3 linked regions of the Drosophila melanogaster genome follow. The protein of the gene in region 3 purifies or fractionates together with the protein of the main gene of each other region. This does not show direct contact. Each region holds a gene or a part of one and is shown on either strand. Other genes may lie near its edges.

The links.
Region 1: the proteins of Tsf1 (region 3) and PPO1 purify together in Drosophila melanogaster (affinity purification with mass spectrometry, with the first as the bait; one large-scale study listed by BioGRID). This does not show direct contact.
Region 2: the proteins of Tsf1 (region 3) and CG31343 purify together in Drosophila melanogaster (affinity purification with mass spectrometry, with the first as the bait; one large-scale study listed by BioGRID). This does not show direct contact.

What each region holds. Positions count from the first base shown.
Region 1 is NT_033778.4:17,886,684-17,891,917, forward strand, and holds PPO1 (prophenoloxidase 1), read right to left. Parts: upstream 3,291-5,234; 5' UTR 3,218-3,290; coding exon 2,862-3,217; intron 2,805-2,861; coding exon 2,669-2,804; intron 2,600-2,668; coding exon 2,105-2,599; intron 2,031-2,104; coding exon 1,397-2,030; intron 1,240-1,396; coding exon 987-1,239; intron 928-986; coding exon 729-927; 3' UTR 537-728; downstream 1-536.
Region 2 is NT_033777.3:21,743,373-21,749,539, forward strand, and holds CG31343 (uncharacterized protein), read left to right. Parts: upstream 1-1,893; 5' UTR 1,894-1,932; coding exon 1,933-2,483; intron 2,484-2,813; coding exon 2,814-2,969; intron 2,970-3,101; coding exon 3,102-3,815; intron 3,816-4,017; coding exon 4,018-5,245; intron 5,246-5,315; coding exon 5,316-5,552; 3' UTR 5,553-5,631; downstream 5,632-6,167. Other genes in the region: CG5849 (uncharacterized protein), read left to right, coding at 1-615, 676-987.
Region 3 is NC_004354.4:18,385,466-18,390,848, forward strand, and holds Tsf1 (transferrin 1), read left to right. Parts: upstream 1-1,618; 5' UTR 1,619-2,483; coding exon 2,484-2,583; intron 2,584-2,658; coding exon 2,659-2,901; intron 2,902-3,108; coding exon 3,109-4,204; intron 4,205-4,266; coding exon 4,267-4,651; intron 4,652-4,714; coding exon 4,715-4,816; 3' UTR 4,817-4,879; downstream 4,880-5,383. Other genes in the region: Nt5b (5' nucleotidase B), read right to left, coding at 5,330-5,383.

The DNA of each region.
Region 1 (5,234 bases), on a different chromosome or scaffold from region 3:
GCCAAAAATTAATAAACGCAACACGTGCAGCGATTTTGTTGGCTGTTTTGCGAGGATGTTTTTTCTATTTTCCCTCAACACTTGGTGGGTGGATGGAACGCCAAGGCCTCCTGGACATGGGCAATCGCAAAGTTTGTCGAGCAAGGCGCTTTGAAGTCTAATAGGATTAGTTCGCACAAATGTGGGCGTGTCTGTCTATGACAAATAAACGCCCTTCTGCGGCTGTGTATCTGTATTTCTTTGCTATAAATAATATTCAATATTGCTAAGCAAATATTTGGCATGCGAATATTCCTAGACGAGGATTTCTTATATCAGTAAATATTTATCATATCCATGGCTGGCTTGCTTGAGGCCAACGAAAACGAGTAATCTCTGTTTTGCCTTGAAAAAGTAATAAATAAAAATCTGTAAAATTCTTTGGTCTCCCCGGGTGGTAAATTGGGACTATTAGATACATTATAAGCTTACCAAAAGTTTCTTGGCTAAAGCTATCTACCCACTGCATTCATTAGGTGTCAATACTCGCTTGTATTACTGCCTGCACATATTACAATACATTTATTTTTGTAGAGTGTAATTAGAAACGATAAAACACCACATAAACGCGCACAAGTTTGGTTAGTTATAAGTTAATAGCAAAAAGTGTATATGATTCCAAGAGTTTTCCGTTTTCAAGTCCGTTTCCATTGATTCTTAAAATCATCTCTGTTAGTTGGAGCAATCATCTAGGCCTTGTCAATCACACGATCATTGAAGACAATCCTTAAATCGGTCTTGGCCATGTTGCCAAAGGCACCGACCAATTCGGTGAGATTGGCATTGGGCAGGCGCCTATCGAAGGGATAGCCCATGGTGCGTCTGTCAGGATACAATTTGTCCTTCAGACCACAGAACGAGTACGCCGTGCTGCAGGCATCGTTGGGTCTAATGGGCGACAAGGAGAATGTCAGCTGATGATGGGAAATTGGGTTTATAGCACTCACGTTTTGGGCTGCTCAACGGAGTCCTGCGAGTAATCGGAAATCATGACGAACAGGTCGAAGACCATTCCCTGGGCATTGCCCTTGGGCAGCAGGAGATGCTGTGGCCACCCACATCCGCAAAACTTGAAGCGTGCCAACTCATCGGCGGCCTTGGGCTGATAGTCTGCTCCAACCGGGCGGAATGAGCGCTCGAAGGGAATGGCCACCGAGGACTCTGTCGACTGGCGGCGTATGGTGTTCTCACCAGGCACCACTGGGGATTAATTAAAGTATGTTAATAGATCGTAGGAGGTTGTCAGTAGGGAAAAGTATAAGCTAAAATCACTGGCTAGCTTTGTACGAAAGAAACACTTTTTAAATACCAAAATATTAAATAAATATATATACTAAGAAATACAGTTATTACTCACAATCAACTGTGAACTTGTCCATTTCGATGGCCAACAGTCGCTGCTCCTCCAGATTCAAAGCCTGATTACGCTCATCCACCTTGGGGCAGATGAAGATACGGCAAGTACCCGTTCGTCTGGCTCCATTATTGGTCACATTGAATGTATAAGTGAAGGGGGCATTCTGGAGATGGGTGAACGAGGCGAATATGTTGCGATCGGTCGTTGGTCCAAAGTCCAGGCCAGCTGCCAAGTCGGCACTCGACTTCTGCCAGTAGGTCAACAGGGTGTTGGCCTTGGTATTGGACTTGCCAATCTTGGCCTCAATGTAGTCCACGGTAATACCATCGAAGTTAAGCTCACCGGCATTGTACGGGTTCAGGCGAGTCTTGAATTTGTTGAACACCGTGTCGATGAATCCGTGCCACCTGTAGAAGATTGGATCCCTCATGGCCGTGGTCACATCGCCCATCACACCGAATTCCTCCAAGTGACGGTAATCGGGATCGTGGGCAAAGGAGATTATGTTGTGCCCCTCGTTGTGTAGATTGCCATAGAAATTATAGTTGATGGATAGGACTGGCGATGCCTCAATCATGTTGCCCAGGATATCGATGCCACGAACTTCGTCCAATGGTATACGATTGCCAGAAGACTATGGATTAGCAAATAAAAATTTCTAGTGCTTTCTATGACCTATGCTCAATATTCCAAACGGGCCCAACTCACATCTTCAACGTATCCTTGATCTATGGCAGCCAGCACGCGATCACGCCAGCGCTCCACATCGGAGATCTCCACACGCCCATCATGGCGGTCCACGTCCCTCAGCTTTTGGTTGGTCACTCGGGCGGGATAGGTGCGGTTATTCGTGCTGGACAGGATCTTGGGGAAGTAGCCCTCGGGAACCTCCACACGCAGATTGTTCAGCGGCTGAACCTTCTTCAGATTGTTGCAGAAGCGCTCCACATTGTAGCGCGCGAGTATCTGGTGGTGCATGTAGTAGAAGAGCTCGCCACGACGATCCTTGTTGACCACCTCCGTGGGTCCGGTGGTCGGGTAGACCAAGTGCCAGTGCCAATGATGGCTATTAACACCGATGTCCTCACGGAAGTACGCCAGGCGCTGTTCATCCTCGCGATCCGAGGCCGTGTAGTTTTGCGGAATGTCCACATGGACACGAGCGCCGCTCTCTCCAATAACAGAAGCTTCCTGACGGGCATCCTGTGGTCAAATTTATAAATACACCATTAAAGACTTTGATTGGTCAAATAAAGAAGAACTTAAACGAACCCGGAAGGCGGAAGGTTCTACAAAGTTGCTCGGAAAGATCTGGGAAATGTTGGTAATGGGCACTTCACGCGTATCCGGGCGATGGGCAACGGCGACGGCATAGGCGTATTGGAACAACACAGGATTCACACGATCCCTAAAAAATTAATACATTATACAATACATATATATTTATTTTAGTACAAGTACTTACTTGGTGTAAACGGAAAGCGACACGAATTGTCTGAGATTTGGTGCGCTCATGAAGAGGGTGATCAGCTCGCTGGCGATCTCACGATGGCGATTGTTAAACAGCGAAAATTGATTCTTGAGACCAATCTTTTTGGTGAACTCCAGACTGGGAACGTTGCTCAACTCCTGAATTGGGATCTTCAGATCCACGTCCTTAGAGAATCGATTGCCCACCTCCTCGGTGTCATTGCGATAGCGATCCGTATAGAAGGAATCGGGCAGTTCCAATACAGTTTTTCCGGAGTCACGAGTGGTGAATGCCGGTTCCAGGGGTCGCTGGAACATAAGTTCCAAGGCTTTCAGATCCGTGTTAGTCATGGTTTTCTCTATGGATGTACACTTTCAACTACACTTTTAACTTCACTCAACGAAGCCAGTTGCAGAACTGTGATTTTCCCAGGAAGCCGAACTCATTTTATAGCTAACTAGCAGTCCGAATATAAAAATAATATTTTTAAAAATATTCATTATCAAGTCCCAACCGCAAAACTGCAATGGTCGAGCCTTTTTTCTCACAAATCCAAACGTTGTGGTTTAGTCGATAGCTTCTGAAAAAGCAAAAAGTGCAATACCGCAAAAGTTGTTGAGCCGCAAAATGATAAGAGAAATACTTTTAATTGCTTGCATAAAATAATATACCATTGTTGATTTTCAGTTGAATGTTGTTAAACGTGAAACTGTATTGAGCTTGTTAGATACATATACTGATTTTTTTTCAATACTGCACTGCCTAATGTATACCCACAACCAATTAATTGTTTTCAACTTTTTGAAGAGTTATTAGTTCCGGGGTAGGAAGCTTAAATTGAATTTCTTTGTCTTTGCCGAAAAAGTATCCGAGAAACCTTTTTGCGACCACGCGAAATACAACTCCCAAAGTAAACAAGCCGAAGGCCACCGGAAAAGCTTCTTATTCGCATAGAAATAACACCGAATACTTGCTCAACAGGCTGCCACGCCCCCTTAAAAAGAACCGCCCATCGCCGAATGGGAGGCCATAAATTTGGCTTGGAGCAGAGGGCTCGTCCTTCGACATGGCCCATAAATTTGGTTTTTGAAATGGCAGTGTGTAGCTGAATGTAACTAAGAACTAACTGGCAAGAGAGCTTGGATGATTAAAATATCTATACTGTAAATCAATTTTTGTCGCTACGCCGTCTGGCCAAATGAACGATGTTGGCCAAAAAGCAAAGCGAATGGCCAAACTTTTGGCCATTGTCAATAATAAATGTTTCTGCCGACTTTGGCGTTGAAATGTGTGCGCATTAATCTGTGAAATTGACAGCAACAAAAACGAGCGTAACAAGTTTGCATAAATGTGCGGGTTTCGGGCGAAAATTGAAAAGATGAATTTTCACAATTTCTGCACTCTGGCCATAACAACATGAAAATGACTTTTCTGCTCGACTTTGTTTTGCTAATGTCGATGTTCCAGCAGATACACCATCTTTTCAGTTTATGAACTATGTACGGTAAGCAATGTAAGCCAAATTTGACTACCATCAATTGAATTTTTGTTTGAAATAACTTAGGCAAGAATATTTTATACGATTTTTTGTAGATTCTTTTAAACCATGCATACCACTTATGTATGTAATATAGTAATATATTGCAGAGTATATTGAAGTTGGCTTTTCCTAGAAAACACTTGACTGCACGCAAACATTTATCCGAGCAATGTAATTTTTCATTGAATATTCAACGACAGCCATGGCAAATGTGCTCCAGATTCCAGCCCAAAAGACAAACTTGCTTTAATTAATTATAAATTGTGGAAAAGTGTGTGCTTCTGCGAACTTGGCAGTGTGAATTGAATTAGAATGAAAATGGGCCAAAGCAAAAGCTTTAGGCCAGGACACGTGCAGAGCCTGCTTTCACCGGCGAAACAGAACAAAAAAAAAGGAAAAAACCCAAACTTTTACCAACAAGTCTTAAAAACCACGCAAGTTTGTAAAAGGCGCCAAGCACTCTTTCTGTTTGGCTTTATGGGCGAAAGTCTGGTCCATAAAATGAGCTGTGGGTATGCGTTAATTACCCGCTGGCTTAAATTTTACATTTTGGCTTAAGCACTCTGCGGCCAGGTTCGAAAACACATGATGCCTCCGCCCCAAAGAACATTCCAAACTATTCATTAGTTGTGGGCCAACCGCAGGAATTTGCGGCAGTGTGTTATCAAAATTTCGAGTGGGCTACGCTTTCAATTGTTTGCCCACTTGGGCACCAAACTGATTAAAGTTTCATGGCTCTAATCTGTTTGCAACTTATCAGCTCCATTAATGTGGGTGGGCTTTCATGAACAGGGAAAGGGTTTGAAAAAGGGTGTCGAAATTGAGTG
Region 2 (6,167 bases), on a different chromosome or scaffold from region 3:
CATGGCACCTCCTCCCAGAGCCTCTTCAATGAGTTTGTACGCCGCCTGGTTGGCCCGACTTTTCGACGAGTTTACGTGGAACAAGGTGTAAATTTAGCTGAAGATGGGATGTTCCGTGGGATTCTAGAAATCGCCTGCTCTGCGGATCTTCCCGAGTGCCTGGAATACACACGTCGCCTGGCTAAGGAGCATATAATCGATAAAATTTATTTTAAAGATGGATCAGACTACCATGCCATAATCGATTCCGTGTTATGCATGGGAGTTCGGTATCTAAGCGATCAGGACTTCCAAAGGATAATTGATATGATGCAGGAAATAGATCGAGCTTCGGTATACTATGATGACATTATATATGCCCTCCGGTGCACGCAGAGTCATCGGCATCTGTTATACTATCTGGAAGGTCTGATGGGTGAAAACTCCACCCATATGGTCCTTTCCGAATTCGAAGATTTGATGTATCTCCTCTACATATACAAGTCGAATCTGGCCTCTCGTCCGGTCATCTGGCAGTATATCGAGCGCAACTACAAGGTGCTCTGTCGAGCACCAAACTTTTTAGAGCACTTTAAACAGCTCGCTGGATTTGTGCCCAGACATCAGAGATCACATGTAATGAGTTTATATCTATTTCATATCCTACTCGTTTTGTTCACACATATCTCTTTTCAGTTTGAGAGGCTACGCCAGACAATTGCGAACCACATGATGCAGGAGGGTCTTAATACGAACCAAACGCTGATCGAGGTCGATTCTCCGCTGGTGGGCAAAAAGATGAAAATCACCGAAAATTTCCAGGACAAGTTCGAGCAGCAGATCCACAAATGGCTGCTCAATGAGCTTCCTCAGGCGACCAGCAGAAGTGATGCCCTTTTGTCCGCCTCCCTCAGCGCGGCCAATGGGTCAAGTCGTCCTCAAGGAGTCCTAAAGGAGGCGACTAGGGTGTTGCGCAGTGCGTTACGAATAGTAGATATGTATAGGTGACCAGACATTTGGTCTAACTAGGTATCACATAAGTACAGGCTTAATTACGAATAAATTAATTTTTTTCAAAACAAAACAATCGAGTCAATTCATTCAACAGCCAAGAGCTTTTCAACACATTCTAAATTAACTACAGACGTTATCGATTTGTCTGAAACGCCTCCGTGGGGAATTGATAAGCAAGTATAAAACACAAAAGTCATCGATAATAAAAACCCGATCAAATGACTATAACTTTTTTACGCAAAGACTAGTAATTATTTCTGGGTATTTCTGGCCATTAAAAAGCAATTTGAAAAATTTATAACAATTTTGGACATTCAATAAGTCGTATAAAAATATACAAAACTGAACAAAGCCATTACTTAAGTTTGTTAGTTTTTGTACAATGATTACTGAATATTAAAGCATACAAATTTGATATATTTAAAATGTAGCACCTCGTAAAATTAATTGATACTTATTAGCGTTTTTCACGAGTATTTATGACTGTTTTGATTATAGCACTATAACAACTTGCATTTTTTCGTACTTTCAAATACTTAGTCGTCCCAGACGAAGCCATAATTCAAAAATTTACTGCTCCTAATGATGAAACTAATAATAGGAATTTGATTAACAAAAAAGTAATGTTATCCTGCTTTATTTTGATAAGCGTTACGCTACTGAATAATTAAAATGTTACCGAGGGGATTTTTTACACTATAGAGTACCATCTTCAAAACTCTCGTAGACTAATTGTTTTACAGCCCAATCATACTTCACATTTGACTTGTCCCAGTGCACTCTGGGCCAATAACCGTGGCTTTGCCACGTTTTATCGAGAATTGCGCAACAATCTTTATGGCGATCGATGTTGAGGATTAGATATGGCCAAGTCCATAAAAATGCCGTGTTCAAGCGGCGGCCGCTCAATAACAAAGTGTCTTTTACCGAGCAGCCAACATGGCACGGTGGCTGCTTAACTCGTTTTCGCTGATCCTGCTCCTGGCAGTGTGCAGCCTACAGGCGCGCCTGATCCTTCCCTTATCCCTGGACGATGGACAGCTGGAGACCAAGGGAGCAGCCCTCTTTGCCACCTCCCGCGTGGATGATAATAGTGCCGGCAATTACCGACTGCCAAATACAACGGAACCGGAGTCCTACAACGTGGAACTCTGGACCAATGTCCATAATGGCGATACCGAATTCAATGGCACCGTCAATATCGATATCCGGGTTTTGAACGAGACATCGAATATTACGCTTCACTATCGCCAGACGTCGAATTTTGAAGCGACGATTATCAGCCGGGATGTGGCCACGCCCACGGCAATTCCACTCACTGTAACCCCCGAGTTGCAGCGCGAATTCCTCGTCCTTACGCAGACCACCGCTGGTGAGGCATTTGGAGCCAACACCAACTGGACCATCACCATCAACTACACTGGCATCCACCGATCTGATATGGGCGGTTTCTATATCTCCAGTTATACGGACGATGATGGCGAACAGCAGTAAGTTGATATTTTACGAAGACTATACAAAATAATACCATTATTTTATTATGAGCTTGCACAGCCTTTACCCTTTTACCTTTATAGAAAATTATACTTAGGTTAGCCTTCTAATGGATGAGGGAATAAATTGCAAAAGTACAAAAGCTTATCGTGCTATTAATTACAATTGTACCTGATTGAGTACTTGCGGCTAGTTTCATTTCTTATCAAGAGACACAATTTGGCTTATCTTTATAATCTGTTATTAGTACGATGATACGCGCTTACCAAATAAAGATTAATTATCGGTTTAACTGAGTCGTTAATGTATATAACAATTTCTTTCAGCTTCTTGGCCACCACGCAATTCGAGAGCACAAACGCCCGTCACGCGTTTCCCTGTTACGATGAGCCTGCCCGTAGAGCTAACTTTACGATTACCATCCACCATGATCCCTCCTACACTGCCATCAGCAATATGCCAGTAAACACCGCTGCCACCAGGTATGATTTACGAATATATATACAAGCATAGAGGAAACATTACTCATTCGCAGTGTTGACAATGCTAGATACAATTGCAATCGATACTTTTCATGTAAGAAATGCTAACATACTGACGGTTTCGCCTTCCAGCTCGGGAGTCACTGCTTTCCAGACGACGCCAAAGATGTCCACCTACCTGGTGGCCTTCATCGTCTCCGATTTTGAGTCCACCACCGGAGAACTGAATGGCATCCGCCAGCGGGTTTTCTCGCGCAAGGGAAAGCAGGATCAGCAGGAATGGGCCCTTTGGTCCGGATTGCTTGTGGAGTCCAGTCTGGCTAGCTACTTTGGGGTTCCCTTCGCCCTGCCCAAGCTAGATCAAGCTGGAATACCGGACTTCTCTGCCGGTGCCATGGAGAACTGGGGTCTGGCCACCTATCGTGAGCAGTACATGTGGTGGAACAAGCAGAACTCCACGATCAACCTGAAGACGAACATTGCCAATATTATTGGACACGAGTACGCGCACATGTGGTTCGGCGATTTGGTATCTATCAAATGGTGGACCTATCTGTGGCTCAAGGAGGGCTTTGCTACTCTCTTCTCGTACGAATCGAACGACATTGCTTTCCCACTGTGGGACACCTATCAGATCTTCCACGTGAACGACTACAACAGCGCTCTGCTTAACGACGCCCTGGCCTCGGCCGTTCCCATGACGCACTACGTTCAGACACCATCGGAGATCTCCAACAGGTATAACACCTTCTCGTACGCCAAGCCCGCCAGTGTTCTGTACATGTTCAAGAACGCTTGGACGGACAAGGTATTCCGCACTGGATTGAACAAATACCTGACCAAGAAGTGAGTACCAAGCCATTACTTAAATGACCTAATATATGAACTTCTAATGTATAGAGTATAGAATTTTGATTAATCAAAAGATCTAAAATATTTCAAGAACTTAAAAAGCTAACTTTATGATATACTCGTATATACTGGGCTTAAGAGCCCTCATTTTAATTTGAACAGTAATCTCACATTGGAATTATTTTGTTTCGCTCAGCCAATATACATCTTGCGACGAATGGGATCTATTTGCGTCCTTCCAGGAATCGGCCGACGAGCTGGGCTTTACGCTGCCCGCCAGTGTGGACGACATCTTCAGTAGCTGGTCCCACCAGGCTGGTTATCCCCTGCTCACAGTGACCCGTAATTACAATGCCGGCACTATAACGATCACCCAGAAGCGTTATGTGGCGAACAAAACTGATACAAATAGCGCAACTTGGTATGTGCCACTTAACTTTGCCACTGCCAACAAGTACGATTATCGTGACACGAGCGCCACACATTACTTGCTAAATGTGACGGAGACCGTGATCTCAGATGTCGAGGCTTCCAGCGATGACTGGATAATCGTGAATATCCAGAACTCCGGCTATTACCGCACCCTGTACGATACGCAGAACTATGGTCTAATTACGGCAGCTCTGAAGTCTCAGCCCTGGAGGTTCCATCCTCGTAACAGGGCACAACTGCTGTACGATACGTACATCTTTGTCAGCACCGATCGCCTGAGCCACAGCATCCTGCTGGAGCTGCTGGGTTACCTGACTAATGAGCAGCAGTATGCTCCTTGGTCCACTGCCAACACTATTCTGACCGTCTACGATCGTTACTTGCGTGGCGATGATTCTTACTACAACTTCCAAGATTTCGTGAAGCGCCTGATCGATCCCATCTTCGATAAAATCGGTGTAAACGAGATTCCCGGCGAGCATTATCTGAACAACTATCTGCGCATCGTGCTGGTCAGCTTGGCCTGCCAGGTGGGATCCGATGATTGCTATAACCAGTCGGCCAATAAATTATCCGAGTACCTATACAATGGCACAGCCATTGAGGCCACTCTAAAGACTCAAGCCTACTGTGCTGGTCTCCGATCGACTACCAATGAAATCTATAGCAGAGTGCAGTCCGATTTGCTCAGTTCCTCAGATTCCACCGATCGCAGCCTGTTCATCTCCTCGTTGGGCTGCTCTGGAAGTACGAGCCAGCTGCTTGATTTCTTGAGACTATCCCTGGACACCAACAATAGCTTGAGCTACTCGGAGCGCACTTCCCTTCTAAACTCGGCCTATTCCCGCAGTGAAATCGGTCTTACCGCTAGTTTGGAATTCCTGGAGAGCAACTGGGAGGCATATGCCAACCTTTCAGACTCTGCAAAGCCCCTGGATGCTGCCCTGCGTGGCATTGCCACCTATGTGGTCAGTGAGAAGCAAAAGACGAGGGTACGTTTTTTTTTTTTAATTTATAATTCAAAGCAGACTTTTAATTTACTATTTATTAATTATATGACAGCTTAACGCTTTGGTGGATGTTGTGGAGGCTGATGGACCGAGTTATATCAATGATGATCTGAGCACCACCATTGACTCCAGAATCACATCCAACTTCGCTTGGTTGGAAGTTAATCGTGATCCAGTGCTCAACTGGATCGAGGATTCCTTAAAAGAGAACGGCAGTCCCTCTCTGACCTCATCCATCACCACGATCCTGGTCAGTGCGATGGCTCTGTTGCTATTCAGGCTATATTAAGATAACTCACGTGGTCAAGTATTAAACATAAATTCAGTAAAGTGACGTAAATCAACAATAAAGATTGTGTGCTCATCATAGATCGAAAATAGAACTGATTATACTGTGGAATTTTCGGGCTGAATGGAGTCCCCTGGTGAGAAAAGTTCAAAGTTCCGCGGTTGGGAAACTTAACTGATCGGTTTATAGCTTGGTTGACACACATTTGCATTGGTCAATCTAATCGCGATTCTAGGAATGGCATCGATAAAGCACTGATAGTTGAGCTTAGTACGAAATTCGATTATCAAGTGGATATTTACAATGGCCTGAATGGTTTATGAAGTTCACGTGATCATATCAGATTGTGATTGGCAACTTTCAAGAACAATAAGCCATTTTATGGTTTTCAGTTTCTTAATCAATTTCAATGGTTTTACCATTTATTAGAAGATGTCTAGCTGTTGCATAGTATCGCACATATTGCTTAGTAATTCCGTATGGATTAATGGGCCTTTTCTTATCTCAAGAGCGAACTTGAACAGTCTATTATACCATAATAGTTAACAGGCGTGTATATTTCGCTATCATATCAGCACATATGATAAGTACACGAGAACTTCAGTTTCAATTATT
Region 3 (5,383 bases):
AAATTTACTTGCATTGCAGTGCTTGCATCTACAGAGCGAGTGCTGTTAAGTTACAGTGTCTTTTTCGCGCCATAACTGCAGTTTGAAATGCTATGTAACTATGTAAATGCATGCCAAAAATGTAAAAAATGAAAAGTGTTATAAACAAATTATTCTACATTAAGTTAAAGCTAATGAATTTTTCATTTCATATATAACACATTTAACAAAATATTATTTTGTTATATACTTTTATTTAAAATAGTAAGTATCACTGTTTCAAAAATGCCATTCGATTTGCAATTTGTACTTAAAATAAGTGAGTAGCAGTGCTTCATTTTTATCGCATACAATTTCCCTGATGAATGCCTTTTCCGTGCGGTTAAATAATGCAACGAAGCTTTTGCGCTGACAAACACACTTTGTGCTGGGCGTAGCTCCATTACCTCCCTTCTATTACCTGGCTGCAGATAGCCTCCGTGCCAGAGGACTGCTGATAAGAGGCCACCTCGGACTACTCGGAAAAATCCCCAACCCATTGCGATCCGGGTAAATTCCCGACCGCTCCGGGGCTCTTGACCTTGCCCAGTGCGAAGTGTGTGTGTTTGCATCTGCGGCACTGCCAAGCAATCTAATTCGGTTTCTGGTTTCGATTCCACTAGAAAGATCCCCGCCCACGCCCACGTCCCAAGTCCCACGGCATTTGCCATTGTGATCTCGTTTTGCACTTCATCATTCAATTGCCGCCCCCGCGACTCATTGCCCAGCCACGCCCCCTCCCTCAAAGGAGGAGGCACGGCCTGCATTTTAAGCAGTTCGTCAATTCTCTGCTGGATGTGGACAGTTCTCCACAGCTCCTCTTCGTTGCTCTTACTGCAACGAGCCGGTGCGGGTGACTAGCTAGGTGATCTGATCCCATCGTGGAACAGGTTCTGTGCCCGGCCTGAATAAACAAATGCCCTGATAGCGGGGCGAAATTGAAGTATATAAAACTAGAGACGAGTGCGAAAGCGAATGTGAGTGATATGCGAATAGCGCATACTCTCACTTTTTGCAGAAGCTTAAATGAGCTCCAAGTTTATCCACTCGAAGTTTATCCCCTGCATTTTTAGGAATATAAAACAATTTCGCATAACATATAAATCTAGATTTTGCTTGCAAATTATCTAAACGCAGTGCAATCATTTAAATTATCATAATAAATACTTGCACTTTTCAAATTGGCCATCTCAAGATCGTAGTTATGCGTCCAATTAAAAATTCAAAAAATATCCCCTCGGAGTGTATAAATAAAAGGCAATTACTCTTAATTTGTTTACTTCCAAGAAGAGTGAATTTAAAGTAGCCGAATCATTAGATGAATGCAAATGCAAATGAATGATGAAAAATGGGCTGGCAAAAACAGAACTAAAATAAGTGACTAAAGTACGTATGCCCCTGGGACTAAGGGCTCGCATGATTAACATCCATGGATTGGGAATGGATGGGGATGGGGTGGTGGCTGGCTCCTCGTCGCTCCCACCGTGGTGACTCAACCGGTTGCTGCAACTACAAGCGACTAGAGAAGATTTTGCCCGTTTATTTGGCAGGGTAGTGAGTTCTTAGAAATTGAAGGCACCAGTGCATTTATATAACTCAATAGGCACAAATAACCAAGTGCCAGTCGGTGCGGTGGCATCAAATTATTCAGGTATATAGTATATGGCTCGATCGATTAGGGGATCAAGTGCCAAGACAATTAAGTGAAGAGCAGCCAGGCCGTTTCTATCTCGATTTTAGCTGTATGTCAGCAACTACGCTTTTTGACAATCGCAATCAAATAGTTAAATAGGCTATTTTTAAAACCTATTCACTGCAATTTTTCCAGCTTAAATGTTCGTAAAGAATGTGCTTAAGAAATTAGTGTGTGTGCCTAAATAAATTCTGTCAAGAGAAAGCGCTGGCTCAATGAATCAATGGCTCAATGGCTCATTGTTTGATTATTGCCAAGATCCAAAACTAATTACCAAACACACAAATGCTGCAGGCTAAATTCTGATTTTGATCGATTATATTGTCGATTATATATACTATATATTGTCTCGAAGACAAGCAAAAAGTCGAACTTAAGGTAGATCATGGATTGAGTAGCATACTAATTGATTTGCGAAAATCGCATTTAATGGCATAGCCATATATCAGTGTCGCAAACTCGTTTGCCGGAGTATATAGGCCTGGATTGCCGCCCACTCACGCCTTTCCTCGGGGAAAAACCGGTCGCCTGGACTGTCTTTCTTTCTTTATTGTTATGATTGCTATTATTATTATTATTACTATTATTATTGGTATTGGTATTGGTATTATTGTGCCTCCTTGTCGCCGGGCAAATAGAAGCGAAAGAGAACAAATACGAGTGCAAAAAAAAAGAGCACGAAAGCCGGGGAAAGAAGCAGCACATCTGGGTGGCTATAAAAGCCACCAGCCGGCTCCGGATTCTCCACAGTCGAGCTTCAACTGTTTCTCAGATGATGTCGCCGCATAAGACCCACACCTGGCTGCCACTGGCGGTGGCCGCCCTCCTGCTGATCCTTGGACCGCAGTCCTCCCTGGCGGAGGAACCCATTTGTATGTGCATCCCGGAGTCACTAGTTGAATGCATCTAACCAGTTGAATCCATTTCATACGAACCCAAAACGGCAGATCGCCTGTGTGTGCCGCAAATCTATTTGGCCGAGTGCCAGCAGCTGCTGGCCGATCCCTCGGAGGCGGGCATCCGCATGGAGTGCGTGGCTGGACGGGATCGAGTGGACTGCCTGGAGCTGATCGAGCAGCGCAAGGCCGATGTGCTGGCCACCGAGCCGGAGGACATGTACATCGCCTATCATCGCAAGAACGAGGACTATCGCGTGATCTCTGAGATCCGAACGCAGCAGGACAAGGATGGTAAGTGGTGCAAATGCTCGTGGGAGCAAAATGCGAAATGCTTTCGAATGAAATTAAAGGGTATTTAAAATGTATAGTACTGACTAATGACTAATGGCCCTTTGTTGTTAATTTGCGATTCGAAGCAAAAGGCTCGAAGGACCAAAATAGTTACTAGTTCCCTTTTTTTTTACTCATAAATCTCCTACTGGTTTCATTTCTCGACAGCCGCCTTCCGTTACGAGGGCATTATCCTGGTGAAGAAGGACTCCCCCATTCGCACCCTGCAGCAGCTGCGTGGCGCCAAGTCCTGCCACACTGGCTTCGGCCGCAACGTCGGCTACAAGATCCCCATCACCAAGCTGAAGAACACGCACGTCCTGAAGGTGTCCGCCGATCCGCAGATCTCCGCTACGGAGCGCGAACTGAAGTCGCTGTCCGAGTTCTTCACGCAGTCGTGCCTGGTGGGCACCTACTCCACGCATCCGGAAACGGATCGCCTGCTGAAGAAGAAGTACGCCAATCTGTGCGCTCTGTGCGAGAAGCCGGAGCAGTGCAACTATCCGGACAAGTTCAGTGGCTATGATGGCGCCATACGCTGCCTGGACAAGGGTCAGGGCGAGGTGGCCTTCTCCAAGGTGCAGTACATCAAAAAGTACTTTGGTCTGCCGGGTGCCGGCCCAGATGCGCCGCCAGCGGAGGGCAATCCGGAGAATTTCGAATATCTGTGCGAGGATGGCACCCGGCGCCCGGTCACCGGACCCGCCTGCTCCTGGGCCCAGCGCCCCTGGAGCGGCTACATCTCCAACGAGCAGGCCGTTCACAACTCGGAGCAGCTGCACCAATTGCAGTCGCGTCTGGAGCGCTTCTTCGCCAATGGACTGCAGGCGCAGAACAAGGACGCCGCCGCCCATCTGCTCATCCAGCCGAATGCCGTGTACCACAGCAAGGATGCTGCCATCGATCCCAAGGTCTATTTGGAGCGTGCCGGCTACAAGGATGTGATCGAGCGTGATGGCAGTGCCATCAGGAAGATCCGCTTGTGCGCCCAGAACGACGACGAGTTCGCCAAATGCCAGGCGCTGCACCAGGCTGCCTACGCCCGCGACGCTCGTCCGGAACTCGAGTGCGTTCAGTCCACCGATTGTGTGGTGGCTCTGACCAAGAAGGAGGCGGATTTGACCATTGTTCGCGCAACTGGCTACGCGGATGCCCGTAGCAACCAGCTGCAGCCAATCGTCTACGAGCAGAGGGCTCAGGATGATGTCCTTGTGGCGGTCGCAGCACCCGGCGTTACACGGGAGGCTCTCCAGAAGGCCAGCATGTAAGTGGAATCCCTCGATCATCCGTAGCACATTAGCTACATATACTATCAATATTCCGCAGCAAATTCAATGAGAATTGCGAACGATCCCGTGCTGCTGCCGCCTTGTTGAACAAGCGACGTGGCCTGGACGCTTGTCGTGTCTCATCCAGCGACGATGGAGAGGTGCAGATCGTGCCCGCCTCCGAGCTGGAGAAGCACAAGGACGCGCAGCTGGTGTGCCCCAGTCTGGAGCGGCGACCGGTCACCGACTTCCGTGACTGCAACGTGGACGTACAGCTGCCCCGTGCCATCTTCATCCGATCGGACACCACCAGCGTGGAGCAGGAGACAGTGAAGCATCTGTTCTCGCTGATCTCGGACAAGTTTGGTGCCCGCGGCAAGCTGGTGGATGTTTTCGCTCTGTTCGGCGAATTCCAGAAGGGCAAGAAGAATGTGTATTTCAACGTAAGTTATCCTCTTTCCTTATTTAAGCTTCGGCGTTTAAAAAGAAAACAACTTTCTCTGCAGGACAAAGCCGTTCAGCTCACCACGGAGCTCAAAAACGAAATCCAGAACGAGCAGATCTACACAGATCTCCAGTGCAATGCTAACAAGATTGCCAAGCAGTGATCACATTTTATACTACTAGATCCCACTATCTGCATCAATAAAATTTAATTCGAATATAAACAGATATCACGTCTTAATGCCTACTTAAGGGAAAATCGAAAAAAAAAGTTTAGACCTATTAAATATGGCTAACTAGTTACCAAATACAATGCTACAAAGTTTCCCAGCCAATTGGCTTTTCACACCACTCATGAATTATTCAAAACGAATTGTTCTCATTCAATTACAGCAATTTATGGTTTTCATTTTTAAAAAAAAAAGACACATTATATGTATGGAACCAGCTAATTTATAATGTATAATGTATATATATATATATCGGTTATGGTATATAGTTTCACATATCTGTGCTTGGGTAAAATCGCCAGGGAAAATCGTACGTTTCATAATTGCTTCGACCACGGTGTGGATTTCGGGTAAGGGTTTGCAAGGCTAATGGGGGCATTGGGGAAGTTTGAGAATAAAATTCGTTGATCCAAACATTCCATTCCAGAAGGGCGGCTGTGGCATCATCTAGTCTTCGGAGGCATCGCGCACAGCCTCTGTGGAAGACTCGGCACCACTGGG